Alligator mississippiensis: one gene and its partners. The protein of the gene in region 1 binds, or shares a complex with, the protein of each later gene. Links are inferred from orthologs where the notes say so. Each region holds a gene or a part of one and is shown on either strand. Other genes may lie near its edges. The genes, in order: SNW1, CWC27, CRIPT and GPKOW.

Region 1 (8,169 bases):
CAAAGTTGATACATTCCATTTTCAGAATGCTGAAGCAAAACATTTTGAAGTGTTTTTTGTTTTTCAGTCAAAACAATTTGCAAATTTAGTTTTGCTCAACCCAAAACTGCATCTTCCAATAAATAAGCTATTTGTGTAAAAAACATCCTAGGTTAGCAGGGTATTAATAGAGTTGTGGGGAAAGAGAAGCACAAGAGTAGAACAACAGTGGTTTAAAATGCATTAAAGCACATGGATTTGAGAAAGCTTGTGCCATCCCTGTTGCTATATGCTCAACTCTGCTCAGCGCCCTCTGTCTACAAACTTTAATTAGCCAGCCTCACACAAGCTCAAACTTGACTAAACTGCATTCAGTTTGTCACAGCTAAGGTTGTACTGAGCAATACAATTTCAGGCAGGGGAAATAAAGGATTCAGAAGAACTGAGTTCTTGCTGATAACAGGAAATTAAAAATCATCTGGAAACAAAAGCAGCTTCCTGACTGCAAAAAGAAAAGATGAAGCAGTTGCAGGAGCACTCAGTGAGAGCAAGGAAACCAATGAAGCATCTCCCAAGAGTCTGAGCTGAGTTGGATTGCTCAGTTACAATTTTACAGCTTAACACAATGATTTTGTACAGCAGCCTTCATACAAACTACATGTCAAAACACTTTACAGAGTTGTATAATATAGTTTGCCATACAGCATTAAATAATATAATACAACAAAGAAAAAATCCAACAGGCCAAAACAAGAGAGAAAATTTATGTTTTCAGCTGTGACGTATAAGAAAGCTGGAAAAAGAGAGACAAAAAGGGAGTTTCAGATGGTGAGAGCTGTAGAAAAAACTGCCCTGTTGTTTGTTACCAAAAGATGGAAGGAAATGAAAAGGAGAAGAGAGAGAGATGGGGCCTGGCAAAATGATTTGCTGTTTACTACAGATAAACAATGTATGAAAAAGTTTTGTATCTTTGGCTGAAGTGCCCAGAATAGAGTACAGACAGTCAGTCCTCCGACTTAACGACACAATGGATTCCTGAAAACCCGGGTCTTAAGTCGAAACGTTGTAACTTGATGCCAATTTTCTCATAAGAAACAATGTTATAAATTGGGGATTGGTTCCTGATACCCTATTTTCAGTCAAAAATACCCCAGAATTTTGTACTCAATCAATTATAGATGAGTAATATGTATATAATGTATTTATATTGTAAATAGGAAACATATTGATTTGGAAGGACGTCTTTGAGGTGACTTTGCTGGACTTTTTGAAAGGCTCTTGGTTGGACTCTTTGATACCCCTGGGCTACATAGTAAACCTTTCCAGGCATGGATTTTTTTATTACCTTGTATCTAAAACAATGCCTGACACAATGCAGCCCTGCTTTCTGCCATGCCTTAAGTACCAATATAATATAAGCAGTAGTAATAATTAATAAATAATTAATTTTGTTCTACTGACTTTATGGAGAACTGGACTCTTCCATCCCTACTCCCAGCACTACCTTATTTCATGATGAACTTCTTTTAGTAAAACTGGTCTACCTTCCACAGGCTAATAGAATTTACTGTTTTTTTTCTGGGGGGGTTTCCCATGAACAGTTTTCTTTATCTAAATCTCAAAAGATTCCTTCTCTTTCAGCCTCTTGGAAATTTGAATCACGGGAAAAAACCTCTGTGGAGGTATGTGAATGTATGCCCAGTACACACATACAGTGCAGCAGCTGGCATTTAAATTTAGTACAAAAGATTTTTTTTTTACTTTTAAGCCTAGTTAAGAACATTTTAAATGTGACAGAGTTTCATAATACTGATCATAATATTTACCACTTACATAGCACTTTTCATCACTCTCTCTATCATTCTCTCTCTAATGCATCTATCTGTGGTATCCAGGTACTAGATATCAAAATTAGCAAAGAGCTTCATTGCAGTCCTACTTGCACAATATATTCTGTCCCTCCCTGGGACACTTTGTCCTTCTGATAGGTAATTAAAAAGTAAAGTTGCATGGCTTGTTGGGAGCTTTTTATAAAAGAGGCCTGAGAAAATATCTGAATATTTTATCAAGCTCCCATCCTTCAGAATCTCCACCTGATGTAATTTTTAGGGATTATTCACATTTTCTGGAACATTTCTCCCAGCAGCAGCAGCTTGCAGATACCAGAAATATATCAAGGGGGCAGGAAACTATAATTTTGGCTCATTTTGTTGGTACTTCATGACACTAACCTGGTCTACACTATAGTTACATCAGCTATAGGGACACAGCGTTGAAAAGATTACAACCCCTACTTGACATAGTAATGCTAGCAAAACTGCTGCTATGGATGCCATTATGCAGGCAGAAAAGGGCTTTATTGGCTTAGCTTATGCTAGTTCAGGAGGTGGTACAAATATGCAGGGAGAAAAACCTTTGGGCTGATATATGCAGCATCTTCACTAAAGCAGTGATTCTCAGCCAGGTGCTGTGGTACCCTGGGGTGCTGCAACATGTTTCTAAGGACATTTTAACATGTATGCATCCTTCTGGAAGTGGCCTGGCATGACCTGTCTGTGCCTTGCATAGGGGTCTTGTGGAGCCACTCAAAGCATTCAAAGTCAGGAGAGGCTGGTTGAGCTGGCTTAGCCTGTACTGGGTGGTGTTGGTAGCCCCCAGTGCCTATGGAGAGAGAACTGGGGAGGATGAGCCAATGGAGAATGAGGTGCAGCTTCTCACAAGGAAGCAACAGTGGGAGAAACAGAAGCTGCAGATTAAGGGACAGGTACAGACATGTGGGGCTGCGGGGCCAGTCTGGGAGCAGGTGTGGAGCTGAAGCTTGGGGCTGTGTCCTAACTGAGGCACTGGGCAGTTTGCATAGGCTGTTTTCTACCTCTCTCACTCAGGCTAAGTGTATACTCACTGGCTCCCAGCATCCTAAATTGTCTCCAATAGCTAGACCCTACATCCAAGCTGCAGAAAAAGGGGCTTTCCTTGGGGTCTTGCAGAAAATGTCTCTCTTCCTGAATTGTTTGTGGGAGAGTCTGCTGCTGCCAGTGGTGACGTGTAGGGGGTGCACGGGGGTGTACATGCACCCCCTGAAAGCGCTGGGGCACCCCCTGACAGCAGCGTTCCCAGGCAGGGGGGCAAGCGAGAGCACTAGTGCCCCCCCTGAGAGCACTGGCTGGGGAATGTGCCAGGAGATGTGGTCCCCCCGTGGCTGATCCCACCAACCCGGAAGTGCCAGAGGCACGCCCGAAAGTGCCAGTGGTGCACTTTCAGGGTGTGGCAGGGTAGGGGTCTGCAAACCCTAGTCCCTATCCTGTAGTGAAAGCACTGTACCCATGTAATTATGGGGCTGGGACCCTGCAGTGGTCTCATTTTCTGACTTCTTGTGTTCCTACAACTTCTCCCACGTGCTTAAATTAAAACATTATAAATAATTTTTGTGAAGAGATCTCATCTAAGGTAAAGAAGCTTCAGAAAAAAAGTTCTAAACCTGTCACCACTTATAGGATTTTGAAAAGGGGCACCACTAAATTCAGAACTGCAGTGGGGTGCCTTGATCTAAAATGGTTGAGAGCCATTGCACTAGAGATGGGGGGCTCAGCCCATGGGCCAGATCTGGCTCCTGGTACCACATCATCTGGCCTGCAGGGCTCTCCATGGGTTTGGAGTGGGAGTGGTGGCACAGTTCCCTTGCTGCCAGATGTCTGGACCTGTGGGGAGCCCTGGGCCCTGCACTCCAACCAGTGTCCGTGGCCAGGCAGGGGCTGTGCCAGGCCTCAGGACCTGCTCCTGCTCCTGCTCCTGCTCCTTGGGGCAGGGAGGAGGTAGTGCCAGGCCCCAGGCAGGGGCCAGCTGAGGCCCTGTGGGGCCTAATGGCAGTGTGCAGGGCTTCTTCTGGCCTATAGACCAGCCCTATGCCTCTCTTCTGGCCAATGGGGTCAAAAAGCTTGAACATCACCACGCTAGAGGACCCTGCAAACACAGGTATGCCAGCCCTGCGCCAGTGCCACAGGCTGGCTCCGTACTGAAGATAGGGCCATGGTACCCACCACGGATCAGGTCCCAGAGCTCAGTGCTATGAGGGTGCCCAACAAGGTAATGTCACAGTGAAGGCACTGCTGCTTGGGGCCACGCAATGCTGCCATCTGTCATGAATGATGCGAAAATGCCATGATCACCATAGAGGTTTTCCCAGGGACAGAAGATAACCACTTTTCTGGCATGGGGTAGTACCTACAGAGGTAATATATACTCTCCCACTTCAATTTTCAGTGGGAAGATCTTAGCTTTATGCCCACTTGATGGAACTGGGAGACTCCTCCCTAGCTTGCTCCTGAAGCCATATGGCTGAGGGCAAGCAAAACCTGGGGGGATCTGAACCCCAAGCCTCTGGGCTTGGACCTGCACATAGGATGCCTGCCAAATAATTTGTAAACATCTGAAGCCCCAGGTGGGGTGGAGGATGTTTGCTGGTAGTAGGGCCACATATGGTTCTTGAATAAGTCATGGATTTGGAATGGATTTGTCTGATTTGGCCTGGAACATGAAAATGTTTCCTTAAAAAAAAGAAAAAAAGATCAACCTTTATTGGACCCCACTGTGGTGCACAAGAGAGGCTGGGCTGAGCCTGCAACTAGCAGACGCCCCTGAACAGCTCTGCAGCTCTGGTGCAGAACCCAGGCCCCATCCTGCACGTACTCCCCAGCCCCGCAGCTCTACAAGCCCAGCCCACAGTCCGGCGCCGAGCAAAGCAATAGCCTTTTACGCATGCGCAGTGGAACACTGGAGCCGCCTAGAGTCGTTAGCGGGACCAAGATTCGCGCCGAGGGAGCCTTCAGCCTGTGCGCCTGCGCACTGGATCATGTGACCGCCCTGCGTAATAGAGACAAGAGACTACAACTCCCAGCAGCCCTTTCGCGCCCGCGCCTGCTCGGTTTGGCACCCGGCTTCGCCGCACGGCCTGGAGCCTGGTGAAGAGAAAGGAGGAGACAAGATGGCGCTCACCAGGTCGGTGTGGTCGGCCGAGTGCGCCCCGGTGCGGGGTCGGGGCTCTCCCCCGCCCTCCTCGCCTGGCCTCAGCGCTCCTTGGCTGTGGGGGAGTGGGCTCCAGCCCCGGCGCTGCTCCAGGGGCCCCGGCCCGCAGCTGGGAGCGCCCGCTTCGGGGGCAAGCGTCACCCCCGGGGCCCGGCACCGTTGGGGGGCATGGCCGGCACTGGGCGTCCCGCCCTGGGGCGGGAGAGCCCCTTGCCGCCGCCCTGTCCTGCGCGAGGGCAGCCGCTCCCCTTTCTCTCCCCTCCCCCCCCCCCCGGCTTCCCCGAGCAGGGGGTGGCTGGTTGCTCGGCGGGAAGCGCCCCCCCCCCCTCCAGTCCCGGGAGCGGGCATACCCCGCTGCGCCCCGGGAGCTGCTCTCCAGGCTCCTCAGACCCTGGCAGGGTCAGAAGGGGCCTTATTACCAGGCAGGCAGGCAGCCTCCGCAGGCTTCCCCAGAGTTTGGGATCTTCTGCTTCTGTCCAGAAGGAAGAGGGCACTAGTGCTATGGAAGGGGGAAGCCCTCCTTGGGCCTAGTGCTTTGCACCACACATAATTAGGGTAGAAACAATTTTCTTATTTTTTTTTCATTAAGTCACTTAGGTATGGAAATGCTTGAAACTTGGATATTTTTCACCTTGTTGTCAAGAGCAGTGGAAAGCATACTTAGATGCAGACTTGTGTAGGGTTTTTCAAGTTCGTTATTGCCTTGCTAAAGAGAAGGTAGATATGGCTCCTGCCCTGGAGCCAGGGGGGTGGAAATGTGGATGATGGTTTTATCAAACCCCATAGAAATCTTTTGGCCTGGTGGGGAGAGACTGTGTTCTCTTCTCCGTTTAAATTCCAGAGTAGCTGCTGCATAACTGGAAAGTGAAATGCTCAAGTGTTGTACATTGCGTATGATCCAATACAGACCAGGGACAGATGAACAATTGTTTTGAATACCGTAGTAGCAGAATCAAGTACTGCATTCAATCTCAGGCATGGAGAGTGTGAAAATATAAGATTAAAATTCCTTCTCCCATTTTTTGCAGTTTTTTGCCAGCTCCAACTCAGCTGTCTCAGGACCAGCTAGAATTAGAAGAAAGAGCAAGAGCTCAGCGATCAAGACAAACAGCACTGGTTTCATCACGCAGAGAACCGCCTCCATATGGTTATCGGAAAGGATGGATACCACGAATGCTGGAGGTAAATATTTGAATTCATGCTCTAATGAAGTCTCTCCCCCTGAAAAATAAGTTTTGTTCCTCTCTTTTTGAAGCAGAGGTGAATTCTGAGCACTTGGATTATATCATGGAGGATTGTGTGAGCCTGGCTGTGTGGGAATTGGCTGTATATTCAACAGGCTAGGTGGAAGTGTGTTTTGTTTTTTCATTTGGTTTATAACAGCAAAAGCTCTGTTATGCAGCACCCATGGGGAATGGGGGGTGCTGGATAACCAAATATGCTGGTTACCTGAGAGGCATCTTTGCCTGGTCAGACTGGTGCCAGGCTTTCACTTGCTGGCATCAGTGTGCTGTGCTGGGGGACAAGAAGGGGGCCATGCCCCAAAATTGGTGAAGTGGACTTGGTGAAACTGGAAGTGGGACTTCCAGTTTCACTTTTGCAGTGTTGACCAGCATGCTGGTTAATAGAACATGCTAGTTAATAAAGTGCCGGATAACATGGCTTTTACTGTATTGCATACTTTAGAAACCTCTTAGTTACACTGTATAATGCATTCTTTATTGAACCCTCCCCAGTGGCTGGTGGGGGGTGTCGCACAGCCAAATGCAGTGTGGCAGCTGCTGCTTGCAAGCTTCCCCCTCCCCCCCTCAGATCTGGCTGGGCAGGTGGTGCTCCATTGCCACCTGCCCATGTGTACCCTCTAGGGCCTTCTCAAGTACCCTCAGGGGTACGCGTACTCCCGGTTGACAACCCCTGCACTAATATTTATAGCTCGCTTTTTCATAGCAAATTTACCTGTATAGTATTTCATTCACCCTTTGGGTTTTCACAAAATCTTCCATGTAGTTCATCAGTGTAATATAAAATATATTCCACTACAAATCAGCCCAAATGTTTAAAAATGACCATGGATAAAACTGGATGAAAGATGAAACTGGATGAAAACATTGAATGAATGATTGAAAACATTTCATGGATGAAAACACTGAAGCACCTCACTGGGAATGCTTCATGTTGCATTTGTCCTCCCTTACAAGATTGTTCTTAGCATGCTGGGACAACTAATACTACATGTGCTTTAACTGTTACTGACTTATGATACTGTTACTGACTCAGGATAGCCTAGCTCAAGATATCAATCTCATCAGTTTATTAAGTGCTTTAGCATTTGTGTATTATATGAAAGGGGGAATAATAAAAAGTATAGGGGTCTGTAATTCTAAACCAAGTGATAGTGCATGTCATGCTGGAGAAATCTGATAACTTGGAATTGGGCATTCTTACTGTGCCCACTATAAGCGTTGGCAGGAAATTTTAGTCATTTAGCAGCAGAATAAATTTGTCTTTTTGGGGAAAAAAAATTGCACTTTTTTTGTGTGTTAAGTGGTAAATACAGATCCTCAACAGAAAGCCTGTGAATCTTGTGCCTTTCATAGGTCCACAAATGCTTTTTATTATAGTGGTAAAGATCACAAATGTTAAATACTGATTCGCATATGAATCCCTCTCCAATTTATTATTTGTATCACTGGTATGATAATGGATGCATATTCCAGTCAGGACAATAGACCCCTGTTTAGTATAACAGATAATTATAGATATTTCTCTGAGGGAGATAAATGCATATTAGTGGCTTCTATTTAAAAAAACAAAACAATCTAAATTCTGCTACCTACCCAAACAGTATGCTGTGGTGCAGGGTAACTCGGACATTGACAATGTGCTGGAAACCAAGGCAGTTCCTGCTTCCACTTTATACTGGAAAACACTGACAAAGTTATCCCACATGCTTTATTCACTATACACTTCTGTTTCTTTCCTGTGTAGGATTTTGGAGATGGAGGGGCTTTTCCAGAAATCCACGTGGCCCAGTACCCATTGGATATGGGCCGAAAGAAGAAAATGTCCAATGCTTTGGCAGTTCAAGTGGATGCAGAAGGAAAAATAAAATATGATGCGATAGCTCGACAAGGACAGTCAAAGGACAAGGTAATAGCTTCTTAGATG
Region 2 (7,483 bases), on another chromosome or scaffold:
GCAGCTTCCTCCAGGTAAGTCTATGGGGGCGAGTGATGAGGGGGCACAGGTGACATGTTGGGAAGGGTGGAGGCGCACAGGCGATGCAGTACAGAGGGGCAAGGGGACCAGAGTGATGTGGCAGGGAAGAGGGGGAGCACAGGCAATGTGGAGGAGAGGGGCAGGGGAGCACAGGCAATGCATCAGGGGAGCGAGGGAACACAGGCAATGTGGTAGAGAGGAGTCGGGGGATGGGGAAGGTGACACAGCGGGGGGCATGTGACTCCCAAGATTTCTGCACCCACAGCAGGACATGGGGCACAGGGCTGCAGCCAGGGTGGACCAGCTCCAGGTAGGAGCTGCCTCTGTGGCCCAGCAGGCAGGACCCAGCGCAGGACAGAGCACCATGGCCACCAAGGTGAGGTGTGGAAGTGGCATGGAATTGTGCTCCTGCTGCTGCTGGAGCCAGAGGGTGTCTTACCTTGGAGGCCAGGGCAGTGTGGTGCTCCCTCCTGTACTGGGTCCTGCCCACTGAGCCCCTGAAGCGGATCCTGCCCAAGGCTGGTCTGGCCAGGCTGCAGCCCCATACCCTGCTTTGCGCACAGGAATCTGGTGGGAGGCACATGGTCCCTCCCACCCCCTCACACATTACCTGTGCCCACAACCCCCCTTTCCCACATACCTGCCCCATTCCTCACATACTGGGGGCTGGCACACATCCATCATCTTGGCCACCCCCTACCCTAGGCAAAAATGAAAGTTGGCGCCTATGGTTACAGTGTTCTTAAACTTGACAGAAGTGCATGGTTTGGAGAGGAAGCGGGGAAAGGTCTCTGAATCTCACTGCACTTTCCAGGTTATGGGGGCAGGGGGCACTCTGTAGCCTCCTCAGTCTTCTCTACTGGTCAAAAATTTGACCAGTATACAGAATTTTTTTAAAACACTGTAAAGCTAAAATGCTGTAAAATACAGTGCTTCAAATGTAATAACTCATTTAACAAGGGGTAATTTAAAGTGATGTATCCATTTTTAAAGTACTGTAAATCCATACACTTCTATTAAGTCATGGCCAGGCATCCTGGTTTTCTGTTTAAAAGCTGCAGACTCTCTGATCAAAAAAAACCCCAAATCCATGTTTTTCCGTGGTTAAAATTAAACACCACTCACACTCTCTCTCTATATATATATATAGGTGAGAGAGAGAGAGAGAGAGAGAGAATCAGTTGAACACAATGTTTTACATTTACAATGTAAAAGCAATTTGGAAGCCTACCAGTGCCTCAATCACTATAATAAATAAATTCTAAATACCTATAAATTTTGGCACTTGATTTTGGGTTTTTTTATCATGGAAAAATCAGAGCTCCCCCTGCCTCCTTTGCTCACCAGGATGCAAGTCCAGCTGTGGCTGTTCCCCACACTGCTTTGAGGCGTGGAGCTGCACTGACATGCCAGTGTCCTGCCCATGCCATTGCCCCTCCCTCCCAAGCCACAGTCGCACCAACCCTGCCGGTGTCACTCACTCCCAACCTACAGCCCCCTGCCTGCACCCAGTCCTGCCAGAGGGGGTCCCCGGCTGCTAGGGCTACAGGGACAGGAACCCGGATCTGCAGTTACCTTCCCTCCCCCAGCAGCACCCAAGCCCCAGCTGCCACCTGTGGAGCACAGCTGGAGTGGAGCCTGTGGTGGGGGCAGATGCAGGATGCCTGCTGTAGGCTTGGGGCTCTCTGCCCTGCTGCCCTTCCCCCACGGTCCAGCAGGTGGGACCCCACACAGCAAGGCAGAGTGGGGTGGGGAGGCTTGGTGTCACAGCTGGGAGCCTCGCATTGCCATGATGAGGTGCCTCCTGTCCCAGCCCCCCAGATGCAGCACCAAGCCTCCCTGCCCTACTCTGCCGCGCCAGGTCCCACCTGCTGAGACGCAGAGGCCACAGGGGAAGGGCAGCAAGAAGCCCACATCCACTTCTGCCCTGCGCACAAATCTGGAGGACATGTGGGCAGCAGTGGAAAGCCAGGCCCCTTGCTGCCCGCCAAATGAACCGCCTGCAGCTCCATCCCACTCTCTGCCCAAACTCTGTGCCCACACATTTCGGTCCCAGGCCCCATCCTAGCTGGGCAGCAACTCCAGCCCCACTCCTTCCTCCCTCACTAGGGGAGCCTCAATCCCTCCCTCCTTCCACCCAGGCTTATCCCCCTGTCATGGCAATAAAGCGCTTTAAGTGGTGAAAAAAAATAACTTTTATACACACCCCTTGGTTCCATTCCAGCAGGTAGCCCATGCATAGAGCTTTATAATTGTCCTGCTGCTTTGAGCTAACACACCTTGTCCACTAGCTCACACAGACATATAACCCAGTCTTCTGGGATTCAAACCCTGCAAACAATTCAATTCAGGGTGCTGTCATGTTAGATATGGCCACTAGAAAAAGGAATATATAAGGCCAGCAAAGCCCAAACCAATTATAAAAGGCTGCTGAAAGTTTAAATTTTCTGTATGAGTTTTTACTGAACTCGGGATTACTCTGCATCGTGATTGTGGCCAATACTTCCACTCAGCAGCAATTTCACTGATGGCAGAACGAGCTTGATTTGTTATGAAGCAATAAACTCCTCTTCCTTGTTGTGGTGGAGAGGCTTGCGTGCCCTGATGATCCTGAGAATGATGCTGTCTGGACAGCCTTTTTGGTAGGGTATCCTATGGCATTAAGGTCAAAGGTGAGGTTTCAGACAAATAGCGACCCAACCCCAATAACTAGGGCAGGTGGAACTCTTTACCCCTGGTCTGGGAACCTACCTAGGAGAAGGATACTCCAAAACTAAACCTACAGCCTGGAGATCTCTCTACAGCTGTCCTAGTTCACCAGGCACATGAGTTTCAGGCCTAAAGAGCGGGGCCAGTCAGTACAAACTGTACTCCACTTTAAAGCTCCACACACAGGCAGGAAGAAAACAAGTCGCCCAATAAACTAGCATGGAAACATTTTTAAAACCACAGCATATCCCTTACAAAGCCCTGCTTGGCAATTAAAACTTCTTTCCTTGACGGGTGGGGTATTCTGTAGATCTGGGAAAATTTGCTTTCTGAAAGTGACTTACAGTTCACTTTGTGAATGTTTTTGATGCTGTTGCCTGACTGCTTAACTGAGCTGAAACATCACCAGAAAATAATCTAGAGTGCATACTACGCCCGTTGGTCATCTAGTCCAACCCCTGCCTGACAGGCAGGATCCTCCCTACCCAAACCATCCTGTACAAACCCACATCTAAACTGTGCATGCACAAGCCTGAGCTCAACCCTGACACACCACGGCCCTCACACCCTCACCTACCCCAGGCAGAGCAGGGGACGCAGCAACCCATGTCTGGCTGCTGTACAAGGGGGTCAGCGTACGCTCAGGAGACCCTGGGAGAGGGCCAGGCCGGGCAGAGGAAGGCAATGCCCCACTTCGGGTTGCCAACTTTGTTTGAATCTATTCCAGGAGGTTTCCTCACGTGATGTAGTGACATTAATGATCAGTCTACTGTACTGCACTCAGGAAGGCAAATGCATATTACTATTACATTAAAAAAAAAAAAACCCCATGGGCCTAAACTGGATGCAACATTTAATGTTTATTTTAAAGAACGCCCTATTACTTGTCTCCCGGGTGACTCTCAGCAGTCTCCTGGAGATTGTATCCAATTCCTGGAGGCTCCCGGGCGATCCTGGAGGGTTGGCAACCCTACGCCCCACAGGTGGGGACAACTCCCCGCACCCTGCGCGGAGGGGGAGTCCCCGCATCCAGGAGCCTGGGCTGCGACCTGGCCCCGGTTGCGGGCAGGGCGCTCCCAGCCCGGCCGGGGGACTAGGACACGGGGAAGGGGCCGCCACCCGCTGCCCACAAACAAGGTGCCCACCTGGCAGCGCCATCCTCCTCCTCCGCCTGCTCGGGCCGCGTTGTTCCGGGCCGGGGCTGAGCGCGACGCGCCGTGGGCCGCACCACTCGCCCAGGCGGGGGGGGGGGAAAGGGAGGCGCGGGGGCGGCCCGAGGGGAGCAGCTGCGAGGCCTAGGAGTGCGAGATGGGGGTAGCGCGCCGCCCTACCCAGGCGGCCTGCGACCCCATCACAACCGCATTATCCCCCGCGCCCCCCGCCCCCCGCAGCTGAGTGGTACGGCCCAACATGGCGGGCGACGCGCGGAGCTAGGCGGGCCCGTGGGGGAAGGGGCGCGGCGCGGCCGGATCGCGGCGGGGGCAGCATGAGTAACATCTACATCCAGGAGCCGCCTACGCACGGCAAGGTGCGGCCGGGGCCGGGGCCGGGGCCGGGGCCGGGGGCGAAGAGCAGCGGGGAATGGCCGTGTCGTTCTTCTCGAGGGCGGCTGCGCCACTCTGGGGAAACGAGGAGCCGGGGCCGGATCCGTCCCGTGGGCGCTGTCGTCCGGGATACCCGGTCCCTGCTTCCACATCCCCGTGCGGGCCCAGTCCTGCGGTGTGCTGGGCCGGGGCCGGGGCACAGGGCTGGTCCCAGGCTGGGGTGAGGCCTGGGCCCGGCTACTCCGCGTGGGACCGACGGGGTGGGCGGCTCTGTTTGAAGCTGAGGTTTCATCACGTGATGCAGTGCATTAATGACTGCTCTGCTGTACCGCGCTCAGGAAGGCAAATGTACCATTGCATTTTAAAAACTCACTGGACTACTGTATACATTAGATTCACCATTTAATATTTATTTTAATGAATGCTGTATTATTTATCTCCCAGGTGACTCTTAGCAGTCTCCTGGAGATGTATATCTGACTCCTGGAGACTGCAGGGCAATCCCGGAGGGTTGGCCACTCTAGGGTCCGAACGTGGGAGGCCAGAAGGTGGGTGCCTTGCACGGAGATGGGCAGTGGCTAGCACAGGATATGCAGTCACATGAGATGCTGCGAACCATCTGTCAGGTCATCAGCCCTGGGGCATGCATACCCCTAGGGGTACTTAGAGAGGTCATAGAGGATACTCACGGGCAGGCAAGGACGGAGCGCGCCCCAGGGCACAGCAGGGGCATCCCCTCCAGCGCGCTCCCACATGTTCCCTCTTACCTGAGGGACCGGGTGGCCCCACGCACACTGCAGCACCTCACCCCAGCGCAGTCTCCTGATTGGCTGCTACCCTCAGCCAATAGCTGATGGCAGGAAAGTGCTGCGGACACCTCCTGCCTGCAGAGCTGCAAGGCACAAAGGGCCTGAATGGCGGGGGTGTGGGGAAGTGTGTTTCTGTGCCTGCTCCCAGGGGCAGGGCTGGGGCGGGAGGGCGAGGGCAGCAGCGCCTCTGATGATGGATGTGCGCAGGGCTGTCCTTTGGGTAGGGCAAATCAGGGGCGACCGCCCCAGGCCTCATGCTTGGGGGGGGCCCCGCAGAGCTGGGCAGAATGGCCACAGCCCCTCCCATGGGGCCCGCCTGGAGCTGGCAGCTCAGCCCCACGCCGCAGAAGAAGTATCTAGCTGCTTGCCACCCCGCTATCCTCCCGCAGCACGTCACCAGCTTTGCATCTGCTGAAGAGCGGCTTGTCGGGGCACATGAGATCTGCTTGGCCCCTGGGCACCAAATTTCATTGCCTTTGTGGGGGTCCCATGACCCCATGCCATGTTAAAGGGGCCCCACACAGGCTGATTTGCCCTGGGCCCTGCATCCCCTAGGGTTGGCTCGATGTGGGGCGGGGGCACTTGCATGCGGTGGCCACCACCCCATGCCGCCACCTCCCAGGAGCAGGTCCAGAGAGGGCAAGGGCAGCAGTGCACATCTGCGGGCCGCACAGGTGCAGCCTGGCTGGCCGGACGCAGGGGATGGGGGAGCTCACACACCACTGCCACCCACCACCACACGCCACTGCTATGCGCAGCTTTTCTATGGATGTGTGGCTCCATGGGGTGCTGACAGGCGGTGCACGATTGGCCGGGCGCAAGGCCTATCAGCAGCCCTCAGAGCCACATGTCCGACTGGCTGTGGGAGAGCGGGGCACAGTGGCAACACGGGGTGGTGGGTAGTGGCAGCAGCCTCCACATGCGAGCCCAGCCCTCCCCCGCCCCATTTCTAGCCGCTGCCACCAGAAGGGGTGCACTAGTTAAAAAAGTTTGAAAAAAACCTCAGATCTATGTCATAGGCTGCAATATCTACCATCTGTCATAGACGGAAAGATGCCAAAAGAAAAGAAGTAGAGGATGTTGATAAAAAGCATGGATTTGCAACATTTTGCCATTACAAGCTTCTGCTGGCAACCCAGCTCTCTGCTGTGACCCACAAATCTGTGTTTGCTGGTGATCAGCAGGTGCTACGGAGGGAATATGGAACAGGGCAGGGGTTACAAGCCTGTGGATGCCTCCACTGCTGCCGTAGCACAAGTGTAATGTCAGTGCCCTGAGCCATAGGTTGCCAACCCCTTGTATAATGAGATAAAATGATGCACACAAGTGTCACATGCCAAGTCACCAATGATAAATTCTTATCACATGCTTTAATTCAGAGCTATATCTTGTGTATCAGCACCACTTTGAGGGGAGAAAAGTCGACAGCCAGTATGTTATGGCTGCTGTTGCTGCTGCAAATCCAAACCGATCTTCCACTTCTGCCTCTGCATTTCTCAGATTGGAGAAGGAAAATATTTTTTCATTCAAACTATGGTGTGATTTGATCAGAGACTTCATCTGCAAATGTTCAGTTGCAGTATATTTTGCATGTTAAAAATACATGTACTTGTTCTGAGGTCCTGTTTAGAGTCTTGGATTTAAGGTAAAAGAGGAAAACAGCAAGGAGGATGGTCCTGGTGGGTATCTACAATAGCTAAGGTATATGTCCTGTTTTGGCCAGGACAGTCCCCAATTTCATGGGCTGTCCCTGCCAGTTGCCTAAAATAGAAGCAGAAGTCTAGGATTAGAGGCAGCACCCTGCCTACACATACCTGGTGCTGTTCCTCCTGAGCAGTTTCTGGAGGCTGCAGGGGTGCGCTGAGCATGGTATCTGACCTGACCCTCCTGCCTAGTGTGGGGATGGGCTGAGGTGAGGCGGGGGCTCAGGAACAGCACCAGGGAAGGGGGCTGGGGCTCAGGAACATGTATAAGGTAAACCGGCATGGCCACCAGCAGCCTCATGTTCTGCTGCTGCCAAGGTCTGGGCTTCATGTGGCGGCCCCAGGTGGCTGACAGTGGCTGGGGGAAGGCGCTGTGTGGCTACATAGCGCAAGCTGGCAGAGCTTGAGGGGCACCACACAGGAGCCTCTCCCAGCTGGGTTCAGCCTCTGCGCATGGAGGAACAGAGCCTGAACCTGGGCCTCCGCACTGTCCCACCCCACCCTGCTCGAACCTCGGCTCTGGGTGGGGGAAGGGGTGCATGCGTGCAGGTCTGGGGTATGTACATGTATGTGACCCCCCCCCCCATCCCAGTTTTCCTTCAAAATAATGGGGTCACCCTGACAATAGCCCACCAAATTAGTAGGAGAGGATGGGTAAGGCCTTTTCAAAACTGGTTAAATTAAATATCTAAATCAT
Region 3 (8,184 bases), on another chromosome or scaffold:
TAACTTAAATTTGATCACTTTGCTCTTAGTTCATTAAAACCTAACTTTGCAGATGTATACACTCAAATATTTTACATATTTACAGAAACTTTCATAACAAAGCATTAATTTGGTCTCTATATTCACATTTTAAGTTCTCATGTCTAGTTACAATTTGATATAGTTTTTTATAATCTGGCATTTGAGGATAAAATGCATGCCTCATTCTTTTTCTTATTTGTTAAAAAAATTCAGTGAGAAGCCCAAATCATAAAACAAACTCAAGGTGACCAGTCTACTTCACCTACATAATGGTCACTGCATAGCTGAAGCTTTAGTTATTTATCCTATGTTATATAGAAGTCGGGGGCACAGCTAGAAATGGAAGTTCCTAGTAGTTTCCCATCTAAAGTCCTGTGCCTGAACTACTAGTACCCCCTCCTTTCTCTCATAGGAGTGTAAATATTGAATTATACTTCATCATCCTATTTTAAAGCTAGTATTTGTTTGTTTAGGATATGGATTTTTTTAACTACTAAATATGTGATGGCATGAGGCAACATACAAGCCAAAGGCCTATAAATGGCCAAGAATAACCAAATGTATGCAGACTAACTAGTCAGCTCAAAGAACAGCAAATTCAAAGCCAAGTCTTAGAATACGCAATTAAAAGCAAAGCTGGCAGGTAGAAACTGAATATTGTATACATATTAGGACTAAAATGTGAGGCAACAAAAGGACTTTATGTTCTGTTTAAGCAACGTAGTCCATGAAAGTACATACCTTGGCACTAAAAAGTATAAGTTTTCACTCATCTGAATTTAACCTAAAAAACACCCAACAGCTACAGAAGACAATAACTCGTGTGCAAAGTACAGTATAAGCCTACTGATTTCAATACTAAAGGCACTATATAAGATGAATTAGTTAATAAATTCAGACAAAATGCCTTGCACTGAGAAGCTTGCACTTCATTAAGTCTCTTTACTTTGCTACTCAGAGCCCTTATGTCTCTAACAAGAGTCTTCAACCTGACAGGACCAAGCTAGTTTCTGGGTTGCTCTTAAAAGCCTGACAATTGAGCTGCTAGTCAGTTTTGCTGCTAGTTAATGTCACCGATTCTTATGCAGTTAAACAGAGTATATTACAAAGACACCAGGCCAAAAAGGTTCCTAGGCAGGCATAATTTATATGATTAGCCAAGAGGCTGACTGACATTTGTTGCAGTGTAAAACTGAGACTGGCACTGTATTATTCCATTAGGTGAATTATGCACTTCTCCAGTACACACATACGTCAATACACATGATAAGTATCATTACTTCACACTGGAACAAATCATGGCTGGAGGAATGCAGTACCGAGAAGTCAGAATTGTGACATTTCCCACAGAAAATGAAAAAGAAGCTGCAGTACGTTAAAGTGAAGAAAAGGAACAGGCCAGCTGCTTCATGCTGTCAGAGCTGTAAGATGCTTCACAGAGCCTTTTAATTACCTAACTGGTTCAATGCTTACTGAGTAATGAATACTACGATTTCTCTAAGTAAATGCTTAAAAATACTTCAAATAAACAAATAAAGTAAAAAGAGTACCTGTAGTGTTTCTAGCCCCATCCTTCCACGTGTCAGGGGTAATCACAGTGCCCAGTTTCTTCTCACCTATGGCACAAAAAGACAGAAGAGGAAAAAGCAAGGAGATGTAAGTGAAAATGCCAAAAAGAAGGTTTCTACTAAAGCCACAAGCCCCAAGCAGGGTACCCCCAAGTACCCCGAGGTGGGAAGGGATAAGCAGATACAGCTGCAGGCTCAGGCTTGTCCCTGTTGGGGCCCCTCTGTGAAGGGGCGTGCACTGTAACACGGGAGCTCAACCCCCAGCCCACGGTGTCATGCCATCGGCCCGTGGGCTCCCCACAGGTCTGGAAATAGGGTGGTGGGGGGCTGTGGCACTGCTCCCCTATGGCCAAACTCCCAGGCCTGTGGGGAGCCCCAGGCCCTGCACTGGACTGGGCCCCACCACAGTCTGCAGAGCCAGGCAGGGCAGTGCCCACCCCCAGGGCCCAATCCTGGCCAGAGAGGCTACGAGGGTGTCGGGGCCAGGCTCCTGGCAGCCCAATCTCAGTGGAGATGGAGGAAGGCAAGTTCCCAAGGCGCAATCCCAGCCAGGGGTGGGGGTGGAGCCAGGCTCCCAGGGGCCAATTCTGGCCTAAGGGAGATACGAAGGGTTGGGACCAGGCTCCAGGTACTAGAGTTCCCATATCTCTGGGTTTTCCTGGATATGTCCTCTTTTTTGACTCCTATGCTGCATCCGGGCAGGTTTTTAAAATAATAGCAAATGTCCAGTTTTTCTCCTTTCCAGGGCTGGCTGCTCCAAGCTGGGCAAGGCGATTGGCTGTCAGGGGCCACATGCTCCCCACACCAGCTTCAACAAGCCAGGTGTAACCAGAAAGAGCGAGAGAGCACACGGGCATGCTCGCAATGCAGGAGCTGCTTGGGCAGCAGGGCAGGGGAGGCAGGGGTCTGCAGGTCAAGAGTGAGGGGCACCAGCAGAGCTGGGGGGGCAGAGGCTACAGGTCCACAGTGAGGGACACTGGCAGCACTGTGGGGGTCATGGAGTGAGGGTCACCACCAGGACTGGGAGGGAGCAGGGGACTGGGGGGTGGGAGTGAAGGGCACTGGCAGGGCGGGGGTCAGTGGGTCCAGAGTGAGGGGAGGGGAAGCAGCAGGGCTTCAGGGGGTTAGCTTTGTCTGGCAGGGGCAGGGGCAGGTCACTCCCCACCCGTGACAGGTGTCCTCTTTTTGGACCTGGAAATATGGTAGCCCTAGGGGGGGGCAATCCCGGTCCGGGGGCTGCGAGGGGGCGGAGCCGGGCTCCCGAGGCCGAATGCAGCCCGGAAGAAGGGGGTTAGGGGTGGGTGAGTGCTGCCGATGGCAGCCAGCGTTGCCCCGGCCCCTCCCCCCCGGGGGATGGGGATCGGCCCCGCGGGACAGGGAGGCAGGGCCCTGTGCACTCACACTTCTCGCAGACCATAGTGATGGCGGCGGCGGGGAGGTAAACACTGACAGCTGCACTTCCCGGCGCGCACTTCCTGTCCCGCCCCCGGCCCGACCCGGCCCTCGCGCGGATTGGCCGCCGCAAGCCGTCCATCACCGGCCGGCGCCTGTTCACGGATCGCCGCCTGTGCGCTGTGTACGGGTGAGGGGGCGGTGGCTGGTGACCTTTGACCTCGGGCTCGAGGAGCGGCGGCGCGGGGGAGACGCAGGTGAGAGCGGGGGGTGGGGCGGGCAACGGCCGGGATCCCCCCCCTCCCCCCTCTGCAACTCGTCTTCACGCACCCTGCCTGTGACAAGAGTGTCGTGGTGATGCAGACCTGGCCTAGCCTGTGCGTAGGCACGGAAGCACACATGTATACTCACACACACCTGCCGGCCGCACCCTCACTTGCATGCATGTACATGTGCCAGTATGCACACGCAGATTGTATACATGTACATATACACCCACACATACTTACACATACATGCACCTGCACACACTGCACACTTGAACAGACACACACATGCATACCCACACACTGCATATATGCACATGTACGCTTACACACATGTGCACCTACACATACGTGGGTGTATACATATATATGGGGAGTCTCTGATCAGCAGAGACTCTCCTTTCCTGAAGAAGGGTGATTGCACCCCAAAGCTTGCCAAAAACATTTTTCCAACCGCTCTGTTGGTCTAATAAAAGAGATCACATCTATTCAAAGAACATAGCCTGCCTATGTATACACATGCACACACTTGCACATACATGTATGCCTACACATGCACTAACTCCTGCACTCGTGCCCATGGTTGCATACACATACCTGTATGCATACATGTATGCACGCACACATTTGCACACACATGCATACACACACACCTGCACGTGTATGCATACTTGCACATGCTCCTGTACCTATGCATACACTTACACGTACACATCAGCCACTTCCTTGCACTGGTAGGCCATGGCCTGGCGAGGGTGCACATCTGTGCTGCCAGCCCCACACCAGCACTCTGTCACCAGAGGGATGTTGGGGAAGCTCTGGGGGCTCCCTCCTGTTTTCAACCACAGCAGTGTTTATGGCGTTCAGAGCAGATTCCTCCCCCACTCAGGCCCCCAAAGTGCACCTTGCAGCCCTGCAGTTGTTCTGCCCACTGAAATTGGGATTGCCAGGGTTCCTCACAAGGGCAGGTGGGCTAATGCCATAGTCCCTGACTGCTCAGCATCTGGCCTGCAGGCCAGATCTGGTCCCCAGCACTGTGTCATCTGGCCCGTGGGACTCCCTGCAGATTTGCGTGCATTCGGTCACGGGTGCGAGGCCTGATGTGGGTATACGGGGCTGGGTGGGGGTGGCATGGGGCCCTAGGGCCCAGTCCTGGCACCCAGGGTGTGAGCTAATACATGGACAGGCTCTGTGCCATTCCTCTGGCCTGTGTTGCCAAAGCATTGAGCATCACTTTTGGAGCCTCTTGATTTCTTTTGATCTGTGTAGAGTGGAGTGGGAAATGGTAATAGTTAAAACTGAACACCCTGCCCCCAGAACCAGATATTACTGCATGCTATAAATGTCTGTTGTAGAGTTAGAAAGCAGCAGAGAATCTCTGCAGTGAGAAATATTACAAGTTTTTTCCATTTCCTCCATTTCATACTAGTGCAGCCTGTGAAGATGGATATAATCACTAACACTTATGTTTCAGTATTACTGTGGCCTGAGGTCAGGGGGTGAGTTTGGTTTGTGTAGAGAACAAAACAGCTCCGTTTTGCTTCTAGACATTTTCTTTCTGTGAGAGCCCACAGGAAGCAAAACATCACCATGTTAGGTTTTCAAGTTCCGCATATGATTGCTGTATACAGTATAAACTACTTGCCACATGGGCAGATAAGGTAGGCAGCCATTTGACAGCTTCCATTGATTTCAATATTAAAGGTACTTTTTAAGCTGATTTAAAGGCTGTTGCTAATTCTTGTGGGATAAGCCTGCTGTCAGCTTTTCACACCTCAATAATGCTAGTTATATTGTTACTTAAAGTACCTTACCTGCTAATAGCAGTGTTGAAATTAACAGAAACTCCTGAGGTTCAGGGCTTGTCAGCAGTTGAAATAGTCTAACAGAGGGATTAACTGTTCATCTCACATATTGGGAAGTTTCCTGGTTGCCAAATAAGCCCTCAATATGCAATTTAGCCTGTATGTGAAACTTCCCAAAGTATTTTTACTGCTGACCTGCCATTAGTCTCAAAATCAAAGGTACCTGCATTGGAAGAACACCAGGCAGTCCATGTAAATGTTCAGTATTAAAACAAGCTTTTAAATCACTAGGTGTTTGGCTGCTGGCTTTTGATTTACAAAACTTTTTTGGGGTAGAGTTGGGGTGGTGGTGTAGCCATCAAGGTCAAGGAAAAATGTGAGGGGCAAGAATTTTTGTGGGTGACATTTATTGGGCCATACAGAAAAATTTTCAAGTATAACAGGTCTGTGAGGAAGAGTACTTCATGCCCAAAAGCCTTTCTGTATGACTCCCAACTATACAGTTGGTTCCATAAAAGATATCACCCACATGAATTCATGACCCTCCAAAACTTTCTTTACAGGGGAACATCTGGATTGCCCCTAAACTGAGTTTGCTAATTAACAGCAGACCACAGTGTGTTTTACTACATATTTTAACTAGGAAAAATAGTGTCTTCTAGTACCACTTATTTTTCAATAACTAACTAAAATTTGTTTTTTATAGGGTGAATATTCAACAAATAACATAATGAAAGATACAGAAATAAAGAAACTCCTCTTTGCCCACATTTTCTGTGTGGTTTCCATTATTCTGTCAACTGTCGTTCCATCTTTCTTCTTGGAGAACTTCTCAGTTTTGGGAACACACCTTACCTGGTTGTGTATTTGTTCTGCTTGTGTCACTACTGTAAATATATTTTTATATATAATAGTAAAACCAAATCCATCTTCTAAGAGAAGTTCATTTGCTCACAAGGTAAGACTTTATACAGTTAAGTTAACACTAAGGGCATTTAGGGAGAACTGAAGAACTGACTTTTTGTACTGAAGGAACCAAGTGGGAAAATGAAAGAGCAAAATAAATTCAAGTGTTAGTGAAGTTCTGGCTAAGTGTAGTACCTTCTGAAATGGGTTTTTAGTTTTCACAGATGCTAAACTTTCTCTCACACCTAAAAGCATTCAGATATACAGTACTTCTTAGTCTGTCTTCTGAAAGTATTTAAGACTTTCTTTGAACCTCCAACAGACTTCACTCTGAGAAAAGTCAGTGTGGGTACAGAAGACTGCATGCCTGGAGCTCATTGTAGAGTCAGGGCTGAAGCCAGCATTATGAACGTATCTCTCCACAGCTAAAAGTTGTCAATAGGTATCAATAATCTAAGGTAGAAAAGAGCATTGAATCATTTTTAAAAGAGCTTCACAAATTATTGAATAAAGGTAACGTTAAGCAAACTTGAATGTTCAATACGGTTAAAATGGACAGTTAGGCTGCATCCACACGTGTATGGATGTTTGTTTCCCCAGGGACAACTAGCAGTGGGACACCTTGTGCTGCTGCTAATTGTCCCCGGGGAATGTGCATGTTATGCATGCTTCAGCAAGTTACCCCAGGGGTGGTAGGGGAGGCTGGGGCCAGCACTGGGCTGGCCCAGGCAACCTTATCTGGGGTCCTAGGGGCCTCCTGGGGCTCCAGCAGTGGCAATTTTGCTGCATGGAGCTTGGCTGGCATCCGCAGTGTGGCTCTGGCTTGCCTGGCTCCATTTTTGAGTGGTGAGTGCTGCTTGTGAGTACACTGCTGTATTTTTTTTCTCCGTGGATATATTCAGATATCCAGGGGTCAAAAAAACCATCTGTGCTGCTCCCTTGTAGCGTGGAGAGCAACTGAATGTGCAGTCTGCGGCACCACATACCGCATGGCCATGCTCGTCTGGACACAGTTTTAGTGTCATTTGAACAAACACATCAGTACCCACCAACATCTTCATTTTAAAGAAGGCATTGCATATTGTAGTTTGTGGTACTGGGAGTGGAACACAATCCAGAACCCAACCAAACCAGGGCAGGGGAGCAGAAAAGTAGCTCAAAGACTTTTTTTTCAGTCTTCCCTGCCTCTGTAGCTGAGCCAAAGGACTAGTTCATTGAAAATTTAATGCTTTTCAGTCTTGGACAAGCCAGACATTTGAAGGCAATACTTTTGTGCACAGAATGTCTGGTAAAGCACTGATTGACTGAACTAGTGCATTTTTCTATATTGATCCTGCCCTCCCCCTTTATGCTATGTGAACGATTCTAATAAATAATGTTAAATGTGCAGAGGAACCAAGCTGAGAAACAGACTTTTTTCCTCATTTACCTTTACAGTTGTAGTCATTGCAATCATTGGATGTACTACTTGTTATAAGAGTGCAGTAGACAAAACAATTTCAAACCAAGAAGGGTTTATTTTTTTAAGTTATTACTTTAAAATAATCAGGACCTCTTGCATATTAAATATCTAGTTTCAACCAAATGATTATGTAGTTAATTAGTTATGTATTTGTAGAATTTAATATAGATGATTACCCTGATATTTTATTAAATTATTTTTTCCTTTTTTCAGATATCTAGATTTCTAAAATGCTGCATATACTTCTTCATGTCCTGCATCGTGTTTCATGGAATTATTGTCCTTTACGGAGCACCATTAATAGAGTAAGTCTGAAAACCATATCTTCACTGAAGACCATTAAGATCTATCTCTCCTTACAAATGCTGGTATAACAGCTTTTGTTACCAGACACTTGGGACTGTCTGGCCTCTGGAGAGAGAAGACTACAGCCCATGTATGATCAGTGCCTCTTTTGCAAGCTTAGACATGGAATTAAGGTGCAGCTACAAGTCCCTTAATGATTACCATTTAGGCACAAACTTAAGGTACAAGTTAGAGTTCTTTTGAGTATCAGCACCCATTTCAGAAAGAAGGCAAGAGACCAATCTACTGCCTGCCTTTTTGTTGTTACATCCCAGAAGTACAAGAATAAACACATTCCAGCGCCTATGTAGCTACCCACAACAGCAAGCTACACCAGCTGGAGACACTCAGGAGAGAGGTAGCTTACAGACTGGCAGGAGATCTTTTTGAATTTGCTGAGTTCTTCAGTTTTCCCTCTA
Region 4 (7,300 bases), on another chromosome or scaffold:
TGTACGTGGGGGGGGGTGATCCCTGGGTGTGGGAGAACACTACCTGGATGCATCCACAGTGCTGGGCTGGCCCCCCCTCCAGTAGCACACAGATGTAGAGGCCACAGCCGCAGTCATGGTCCCCCACATAGGCTCAGCCCAAAGCCTCGGGGGCCCCGTGCCAGTTCCACCAAGAAAGGGGGAGGCGCTGGCATCTGCAGGGGGAGAGAGGCAGGGTCAAAGGGATACTCCACCCCACCTCCCCCACTTCCCCTTCACTACCCAGACAAACCCCCCATTCCCCTTCCCTGATCCCTGCCCATTCCATGTCCCCCCTCCTCCATCAATATCCCCACTCCCTCTAGTACCTGGGGTTGTAGGGGGTGGGAACCCCCAATCTTAGACCTCACATCAGTATCAGGCCCATTCAAGTCACTGGTGGAGGAGCCTGTGGTGGGGAGGGAAGAATAAGGTGGTGTGTGGGTGTTTGTGTGCACACCCCATCATGGGTGTGTGTGCATGTGTGTACCCCAACATGCTCCTTTCCCACCTTCATACCACGCCCAGCATGCTGGGGGTGCCTGCCCCACCCTGTCAGGAACCCCTCCCCAAAACCCCAGTCCCACCCTCACTCAATATCTGCTCCCTCCAGGCCCCTAGAAATAATTACATGTCCAGCCCCATAGCAAAGCTTAGGTACAGGCAACCATGGTAGTGTTCAGAGGGGCAGGAGCTATTAGGCCCTGAGTGGCTGCAAGTCCCTCCCAAAACCAAGCCAAACAGACTGACCTTGGCTGAAGGGACCCAGGGGCAGACAGGTGGTGCCAGGCAGCAGCTGATAACAGCTAGGGGTGAGGAGTTAACCCCTTAGGCACCAGACAACCCCTGCTCTCACTCACCAGTGCGGGGGCAGGGCCTGGTTGCCACACCAGTGCCCCCTGGGGGATGAGGCCTGCAGAGGGTACTGAGCAGGATGTCCTGGGGTTCAGGCCCCACAAAGCTGGTCACAGCAAGTTCCTCAGCACCCCCTGAGCCCAGGCAGTGGGGGCCAGCAGCTGACCATGGGGGCAGGTTCCTGGGGCCTGGGGGAGAAAGTAGGGGTTAGTGGAGTAAGGGACCCTCAGAGATACCTCTACAGCCATCTTGCCCCTCTCCTGCTCTAGGGCCTGTCCCTGCCCAGGTTTAACTCCACTCCTTGCCCCTCCCCTACAGCCTTAGCCCCACCCCACAGTCCTCCCACACCCACATGACCCTCTCCCACCCCCTACCCCAATACCCTCGCCCTCTTAGCCCTACTCCCATGCATTTCCCTTAGTTTTAACTCCTCCATCAAACCCCATGCCCTGGCCCCAGGCTTAGTCCCTTCCCCACCCCACTGCCCCTCCCCCAACCTTAGCCTCCCCCGTGCCCCTCCTCCAGCCTTAGCTCTTCCTCTAACCAAATACCCTTCCCCTTACTTTAGTCCCTCCCCATCCTTCATCACCCAATGCCCCATCCCTTAATCTTAAACTCTCCCCCAACCCTTAGCCCCCTGAATCTCCTCCCTCACCCCAATTCCCTGCCACTAGCTTTAGACCCATCCCTATGCCCTGCTCACAGCCCTCGCACTCCTCACCCCTTATCCCTATGCCCCCGCACCTATTACCCTCCCTCATTGCCCCCAGCTCCTGACCTGGGCACTGAACGAACAGCAGGCCACTGCCAGTCTCATTTGCCTTGCCCAGCAGGGGGCAGCACTGGGGGTCCCAGATCTGTCCCCCCTGAGTGCCCCCTGCCCTGATGCCAGTGACCCCTGGGGAGTGGTGGGGCAGGGGCACAGGCAGGTGCCAACCCCCTCCCCCACCTCCTTGCTTGTGGTCCTGCCCCCCAGGCAGGGGTGGGGGCAGCAGGCTAATAGGGAAGGTGAGTGGAGCACCCCTTGGTGGCTGTATTGCAGTACCCAGCTCCCGTCCACCACCACCACCACATTCACTGCAGGGTGGAGAGCCAGGTGTTAATGAGACATGGCTGCCAACACCCCCCCCCCGCCCCCAGTTTCCCTGGGGGGAGAACCATGGCCCTGTACAGCATTCCCAAGTGACCTGGGAAGTATATTTAGTCCCACACGCCCCCAAGCTGTAGCTGGAACTGCCTGAAGAGGGAAATGTAGCCCTAAATAGTGCACCCTGATGCCCCAGAGGGGAGATACAGCCCTACATAGCACCCCGCCTAAGTGGCCTGGAAGGGGAGATACAACCCTATATTGTACCCTTGAATGCCACAGTGGGGGAGATGCAACACTGCACAGTATCCCCTAGTGGCCTGGAGGCAAAATGCAGCTCTGAACATTGGAGGGGGTGGGGGAAGAATCTGGCCATGTACAGCATCCTCCAGTGGCCTGGAGGGGGATATACAGGCCTATACAGCACTCCCTACTTCAGCAGATCCCAAACTGTGAGTTGTGATCCCAAATAGGGTCGCAACATTAGTAGATGGGGTTGCAGCGTGGCATTCTCTCCCAGGTCCTGTCTGCCGGGCTGCAGAGGCCTGGGGGAAAGGCAGCAGGGCAGCGAGCCCCAAGCCCACAGCCCACATCCTCCCACCCCCATGGGCTCTACTCTGGCTGTACCACCTGTGGGGTCAGGGACAGGGGTGGAGGGCAGGGAGCCGGGCTTCATGCTCTGGCCTTAGCAGCTGCTGCTTCCTTCAGGTGGTAGACAGAACTCAGGCACTGCTAAGGTGAGGGCCCTGTCCCTGGGGCACCTGGGGAGAGTGGGGGGCTGCAGATGGGGAATGAGGAGCACCAGCAAAGCCAGGGAGCTGTGGGTCAGGATTGAGGGGCACCCAAGGGGGGGGTGTGCTGTGAGTTGAGAGTGAGGGGCCATGATGAGGAAATGGGGTCATGCTGAGGAAATGTTTGGGAAGCACTGCCCTAGTGGCTTAGAAGAGAAGATATAGCCCCACACAGCTTCCCCCATGGCCTGGATAAAGAGATCTATGGTAACCCCTAATGGCCTGGGGAGAAAATACAGCTCCATACGGCATCCCCTAGTAGCTTAAAGAGGGAGATACAGCTCTGCATGTCACCTCCTAGTGATCTGGAGGGGGACTATAGTCCCAGAGTGTCATCCATTGCTCCAGGTTATCAGAGCCCCACATGATGCCCCCTGCTGCCACTCCTGGTCCCCTACACTTACCTCCTGTAGTTGTGATCGACCCTGCCATGGGAACTCTGACCTCTGGGGGGCTCCACGGGGTGCTGCAGCTGTGGGGAAGGGGTAGATAAAAATTCTCCTCCCTCCCAATCTGCAGCCCCGCACATCAGCTCTATGGTGCCTCCCATTCCTGTCCTGGAACCTCTGCACCATAGCCCTGGGGTGCCCATCACTCCTGCCCTGTGACACCTGCCCCTCAGTGACTCACCTGATTCCATAGGCCTCACCCCTCTCTGAGCCCCAGTTATGGGGCTGAGGTCTGGGACCCCCCATGGTGCAATTGGGGGCCTTCTGTTAGAGCCCCAAGATGAGTGTTGGGTGGGGGAGTCTTCTTGGGAGTCCCTGTAGGCCTTTAGAGTGGAAGGAGAAAAAAAAGTGTTCAGATACAGCCAGATCTGGGGTGAAGAGCATAAGCAAGCCGCATTTTACCCCCTACAGCCCTGCCCCCAGCTCTGGTGAGGCCACCCTCCCCACAGTGCTCCTCACTCCTGACCCACAGCCCCTTCCATCACTCCCAATTTGCAGTCCCCCAACTTTGACAATCCAAGTCCAACCAGCAGGTTATCCTATCCCATCTGCCATAGGCCAGTGGTGGTGGTGGGGGGAGGGGGGGGGAAGCCTTGGGATCAGCCCTGTGCAAAAGCCCTCCATCTCCATCCCCTGCTGGGTACCCAGGCTGCAGGCAGTGGGGTGGGGGGGGTTGCCAAGGCAACAGGGCCGCTGCCCAGGTAACCGTCCTCTTGCCCCCTGTGGCTAGGCTGCTAGGGAGGGTGGAGTTTTTTGGAGGGATGGATACTTAGGTGGCAGGGCAGCTAATCCGTGCTCATCCCAAAATGAAAGGAAGTGAGGGGCGGGGGGTGGTCTGGTGACTAAACAAAATGGGTCTGGGAGCTAGGACACCTGGTTTCTCTCCCTAGCCCTCTCCCAGCTCCCCCTCCCCAAAGCTGGAGGGGTGGGGGAGCAGTTATCAGGGCAGTTGGGACCTGTAGGCTACTCCAGTGCATGCTGGTAACTCTAGCCTGGAGCCCCAATGCATGCTGTCTATGTATTACGTCAAAGATCCCACCGCATGATGGGAGATTCAGGCAACCCTTCCTGTCTCTTCGAAATGCCTGTTAGTAGAGGGGGACTCCAACTCCCATGATTCCGTGTACCGCAAACCCCAGGCGAGGCAATGATGGCCGCGGTGAGTCGGCTGTACCGCTCTCATGATACTTTTCGGTGGCGTTTCCGGGCGCGACTAGAGGGCCGTGGCTCTGAGAGGACTACAATTCCCATGAAACCTTACTGCGTCCAGTTAGGGCCAGCTCCGAGGATGAGACTACGACTCCCATGATGTCCTGCGGCAGCGACTGCGGGTGCGGCAAGATGGCGGCGCCAGCGGCTGGTGGAGCGGGACCAGTGTCGTTCGGGTTTACACGCACCGCCGCTGGGCGGAGGCGGCTGCCCGGTCCCGAGTCGGGACCCTGCGCGGAGCCTGACGCCACCGAACACGTGCCGGAACCAGACTTCGTGCGCGCTATGGAGGACCGGGAGCTCCAGAGGTATCCCTGGGGGCGGGGTAGAGAAGCGGAATGGCGCATGCGCGAGCTGTATTGACCATGAACACAGGAGGAAGGAGAAGAGGCTGGGTGTCTTTGGACGCATGCTTAATGTGGAAGCTTAGGTTGCCCCAAGTGCTTGCCTCGCAGAGGGGTTACATCAGAACGCGTGCACCGAGGAAAAAGTCGGTGTGCACTGGGCATCTGAGCCATGGTGCGTACAGTGCATGCCTGCAGAGGGGAAAGGGCGTGTACACTTAGGGCAGGGGGCGGGGTAAGGAAGAGGGGCAGGCTGGAGGCGTGGGTTGGGGAAGGGGCGTGGCCCCAGAGAGCAGGGGTTGGAATTAAGATAAGGGGCTGGTCAGTAGATGAGGGGGTCGGCCTCTGTGGGGTTATAGGGTTTTGGGGCATGGTCATCTGGGGAGGTTGTGGGGCATTGAGGTGTGGCTACTGGGGAGGGGATCTTGATGGAGGGGGCAGGGCCTAGGAAGTGCAAAGGAGCATGGTTAAATCCCTTCTCCGCCTCTTGAAGGCTCAGATCAAGTGTAGTGGAGGTGGGGGCATGTGCAGAGAAAGGGCTGGGGCCTCAGGCTGTGAGGGGTGGGGCATCAGAAAGCTGTCTCCCCACAGTGTCTGCCTGGCCCCACGGCCCCCCTCAGCACTTGTCATTCCCCTGATCCGGACGAACCAGTGGAAGCGGCCAGCGGGCGAGGCTTCTCCAGACCCTGTTGGCGGGGACAGGGTTGAGGGTCAGGCCATTCGGGAGATCATTGAGGGTGAGTGGGCATCGGGAACCCAGGTGTCTGGGCTTGCCATCATTCCCAGCCTGATGCTTGAGCAGAGAGAGAACCCACACGTACAGTCTCCCCACCCCTTCATGCTTTTTCTTATTCTGTATTTGTTCATTCTAATTACCAGAAATGGGGGAGAACCCAGGTGTCCAGGGTGCTAGATGTGGCCCCTTCCCCTTCCCGCTTCCCCCCAAAAAGTGCTAATTTTGTCAACTAAAGGCTCCCCTTGCATTGGCCCACTCAAAAGCAGAACCCAAATGTCCAGACTCCCCACCACCCCAGATGCCCTGCCAGAGCTGGGGGAGAACTCATGTGTCCAGGTTCCCAGCCCCCACTCCTCCCAGAGAACCCAGATACCTGGGTTCCCAGTCTTCCCTGCTCTAAATGCCTAGCTCCATCTCCCTCCCAAAGAATCCATGCATCTAGCTCTGATACTTCCCCTGTACCTTGCAGAGTCACAGCGGGTGCTGGAAGTTTGGGAGGCTGGTGCTGAGGCTTCCCTGGCTCGAACCATTCCCATGCTAGTCCAGAACAGGGTACTTAGTGGCTACGAGGACAGCGACCATGTGGACGTCAGTCTGCGCCCTGAGTCGGTAAGGGAATCTCCAGGTTCAGCTCTGTATTTCCCCCACCCACCTCCTGCCCCCAGCTGGCCCATGCAGGGGCAGAACCCAGGTATCCCAGCTCATGAACTCCCAGTTCCCACTCCCAATCTAAAGAACCCAGGTGTCAGGGCTCTGAGGTCCCCCGGCTGTAACCCCATCCAGCCATTACTCCACTTCTAGAGAACCCAGGTGTTTGGCTCTGATCCCTTCCTGCCCCCCAGCTCAGCTGGCCCAATATCCCCCCTCTCTGCCCCTGGTGCCAGGTGACCCACGCAGGGGCAGAATCCACATGTCTAGGTTTCTGACACTGCTCCCTGCTCTAACTCCACTTCCAGAGAACCCAGGTGTCCAGGCTCCTAGACTCTCCCTGACTACCCTCCCTGGCTCCCACTTCCCTCTCAGAGAACCCAGGTGTCCAACTCTGACCTCTCCCTTTCCCCCTCCCTCAGGCCCAGCTGGCCTTGCATCCCTCACACTCCTTGCCTCCAGCTGCCTCATGCAGGGGGAGAGCTCGCACTTCTGGGCCCCAGCTCCCAGAGAACTCCCTCCTCCCCACAGAATCCCCACCCCAGTGGGCTGATGTATCCCTTTTGCCCCCTAGGCCACAGAGGCAGATTATGAAGAGGTGCCAGTGGAGGCCTATGGTCTGGCCATGCTGCGGGGGATGGGTTGGAAGGAGGGCGAGGGCATCGGCCATACCTTCAAGCAGTGAGTGACCCTGGGGGCAAAGGTCGTGGCAGTTGGGAAGGTCAAGGGTCAGAGGGGAGGGAGCAGGGCAACGAGGGGTACAGCATGGTGTTGGAGGGTTGTGGGTACAATCAGAGATCAAGGTGGGATATGGTAGAGAGGATTGTGAGTATGGTCAGAGGCTGCCCTGTGACATCAAAGGTCAAACTGGGGGATGCCAGAGAGAATTTTGGGTACAACCACTTTCCGAGGTCCAGAAGTGACCCTGGGGAGAAGGTCAGGAAGGGACGATGTGTAGAATCTTCTTTCTGCTTCTGGGGTTGAAGTTCAGGGGAACTGTCTGGGTGGGATCAGAAGTCATAGTGTGGGGGAGGAGTGCACAGGGGTCAGTACCATGGGATGCACTAGGGGTGCCATGTAATCCCTTCTTGTCCCATCCTTCCCCCAGGGCTGTGAAGCCACTAGAACATGAGTTGCGTCCCAAGGGACTGGGCCTGGGGGCT

Evidence for each region.
Region 2: SNW1 (region 1) and CWC27 share a complex: the UniProt entries of both Homo sapiens proteins name them as parts of the minor spliceosome. The link is inferred for Alligator mississippiensis from reciprocal best matches to the Homo sapiens genes SNW1 and CWC27.
Region 3: SNW1 (region 1) and CRIPT share a complex: the UniProt entries of both Homo sapiens proteins name them as parts of the minor spliceosome. The link is inferred for Alligator mississippiensis from reciprocal best matches to the Homo sapiens genes SNW1 and CRIPT.
Region 4: SNW1 (region 1) and GPKOW share a complex: the UniProt entries of both Homo sapiens proteins name them as parts of the minor spliceosome. The link is inferred for Alligator mississippiensis from reciprocal best matches to the Homo sapiens genes SNW1 and GPKOW.

What each region holds. Positions count from the first base shown.
Region 1 is NC_081825.1:263,412,782-263,420,950, reverse strand, and holds the start of SNW1 (SNW domain-containing protein 1), read left to right. Parts: upstream 1-4,871; 5' UTR 4,872-4,960; coding exon 4,961-4,974; exon of another isoform or gene 4,975-5,246; intron 5,247-5,448; exon of another isoform or gene 5,449-5,556; intron 5,557-6,029; coding exon 6,030-6,183; intron 6,184-7,989; coding exon 7,990-8,151; intron 8,152-8,169. UniProt on the Homo sapiens protein: Involved in pre-mRNA splicing as component of the spliceosome. As a component of the minor spliceosome, involved in the splicing of U12-type introns in pre-mRNAs.
Region 2 is NC_081826.1:261,519,458-261,526,940, reverse strand, and holds the start of CWC27 (spliceosome-associated protein CWC27 homolog), read left to right. Parts: upstream 1-4,134; 5' UTR 4,135-4,216; coding exon 4,217-4,258; intron 4,259-7,483. Other genes in the region: protein SREK1IP1, read right to left, coding at 3,876-3,888. UniProt on the Homo sapiens protein: As part of the spliceosome, plays a role in pre-mRNA splicing. Probable inactive PPIase with no peptidyl-prolyl cis-trans isomerase activity. As a component of the minor spliceosome, involved in the splicing of U12-type introns in pre-mRNAs.
Region 3 is NC_081824.1:199,216,367-199,224,550, reverse strand, and holds the start of CRIPT (cysteine-rich PDZ-binding protein), read right to left. Parts: upstream 3,090-8,184; 5' UTR 3,007-3,089; coding exon 2,991-3,006; intron 1,638-2,990; coding exon 1,572-1,637; intron 1-1,571. Other genes in the region: PIGF (phosphatidylinositol-glycan biosynthesis class F protein), read left to right, coding at 5,783-6,010, 7,634-7,725. UniProt on the Homo sapiens protein: As a component of the minor spliceosome, involved in the splicing of U12-type introns in pre-mRNAs. Involved in the cytoskeletal anchoring of DLG4 in excitatory synapses.
Region 4 is NC_081831.1:28,334,572-28,341,871, reverse strand, and holds the start of GPKOW (G-patch domain and KOW motifs-containing protein), read left to right. Parts: upstream 1-4,285; 5' UTR 4,286-4,313; coding exon 4,314-4,359; intron 4,360-4,461; exon of another isoform or gene 4,462-4,470; coding exon 4,471-4,717; intron 4,718-5,344; coding exon 5,345-5,490; intron 5,491-5,958; coding exon 5,959-6,098; intron 6,099-6,711; coding exon 6,712-6,818; intron 6,819-7,245; coding exon 7,246-7,300. UniProt on the Homo sapiens protein: RNA-binding protein involved in pre-mRNA splicing. As a component of the minor spliceosome, involved in the splicing of U12-type introns in pre-mRNAs.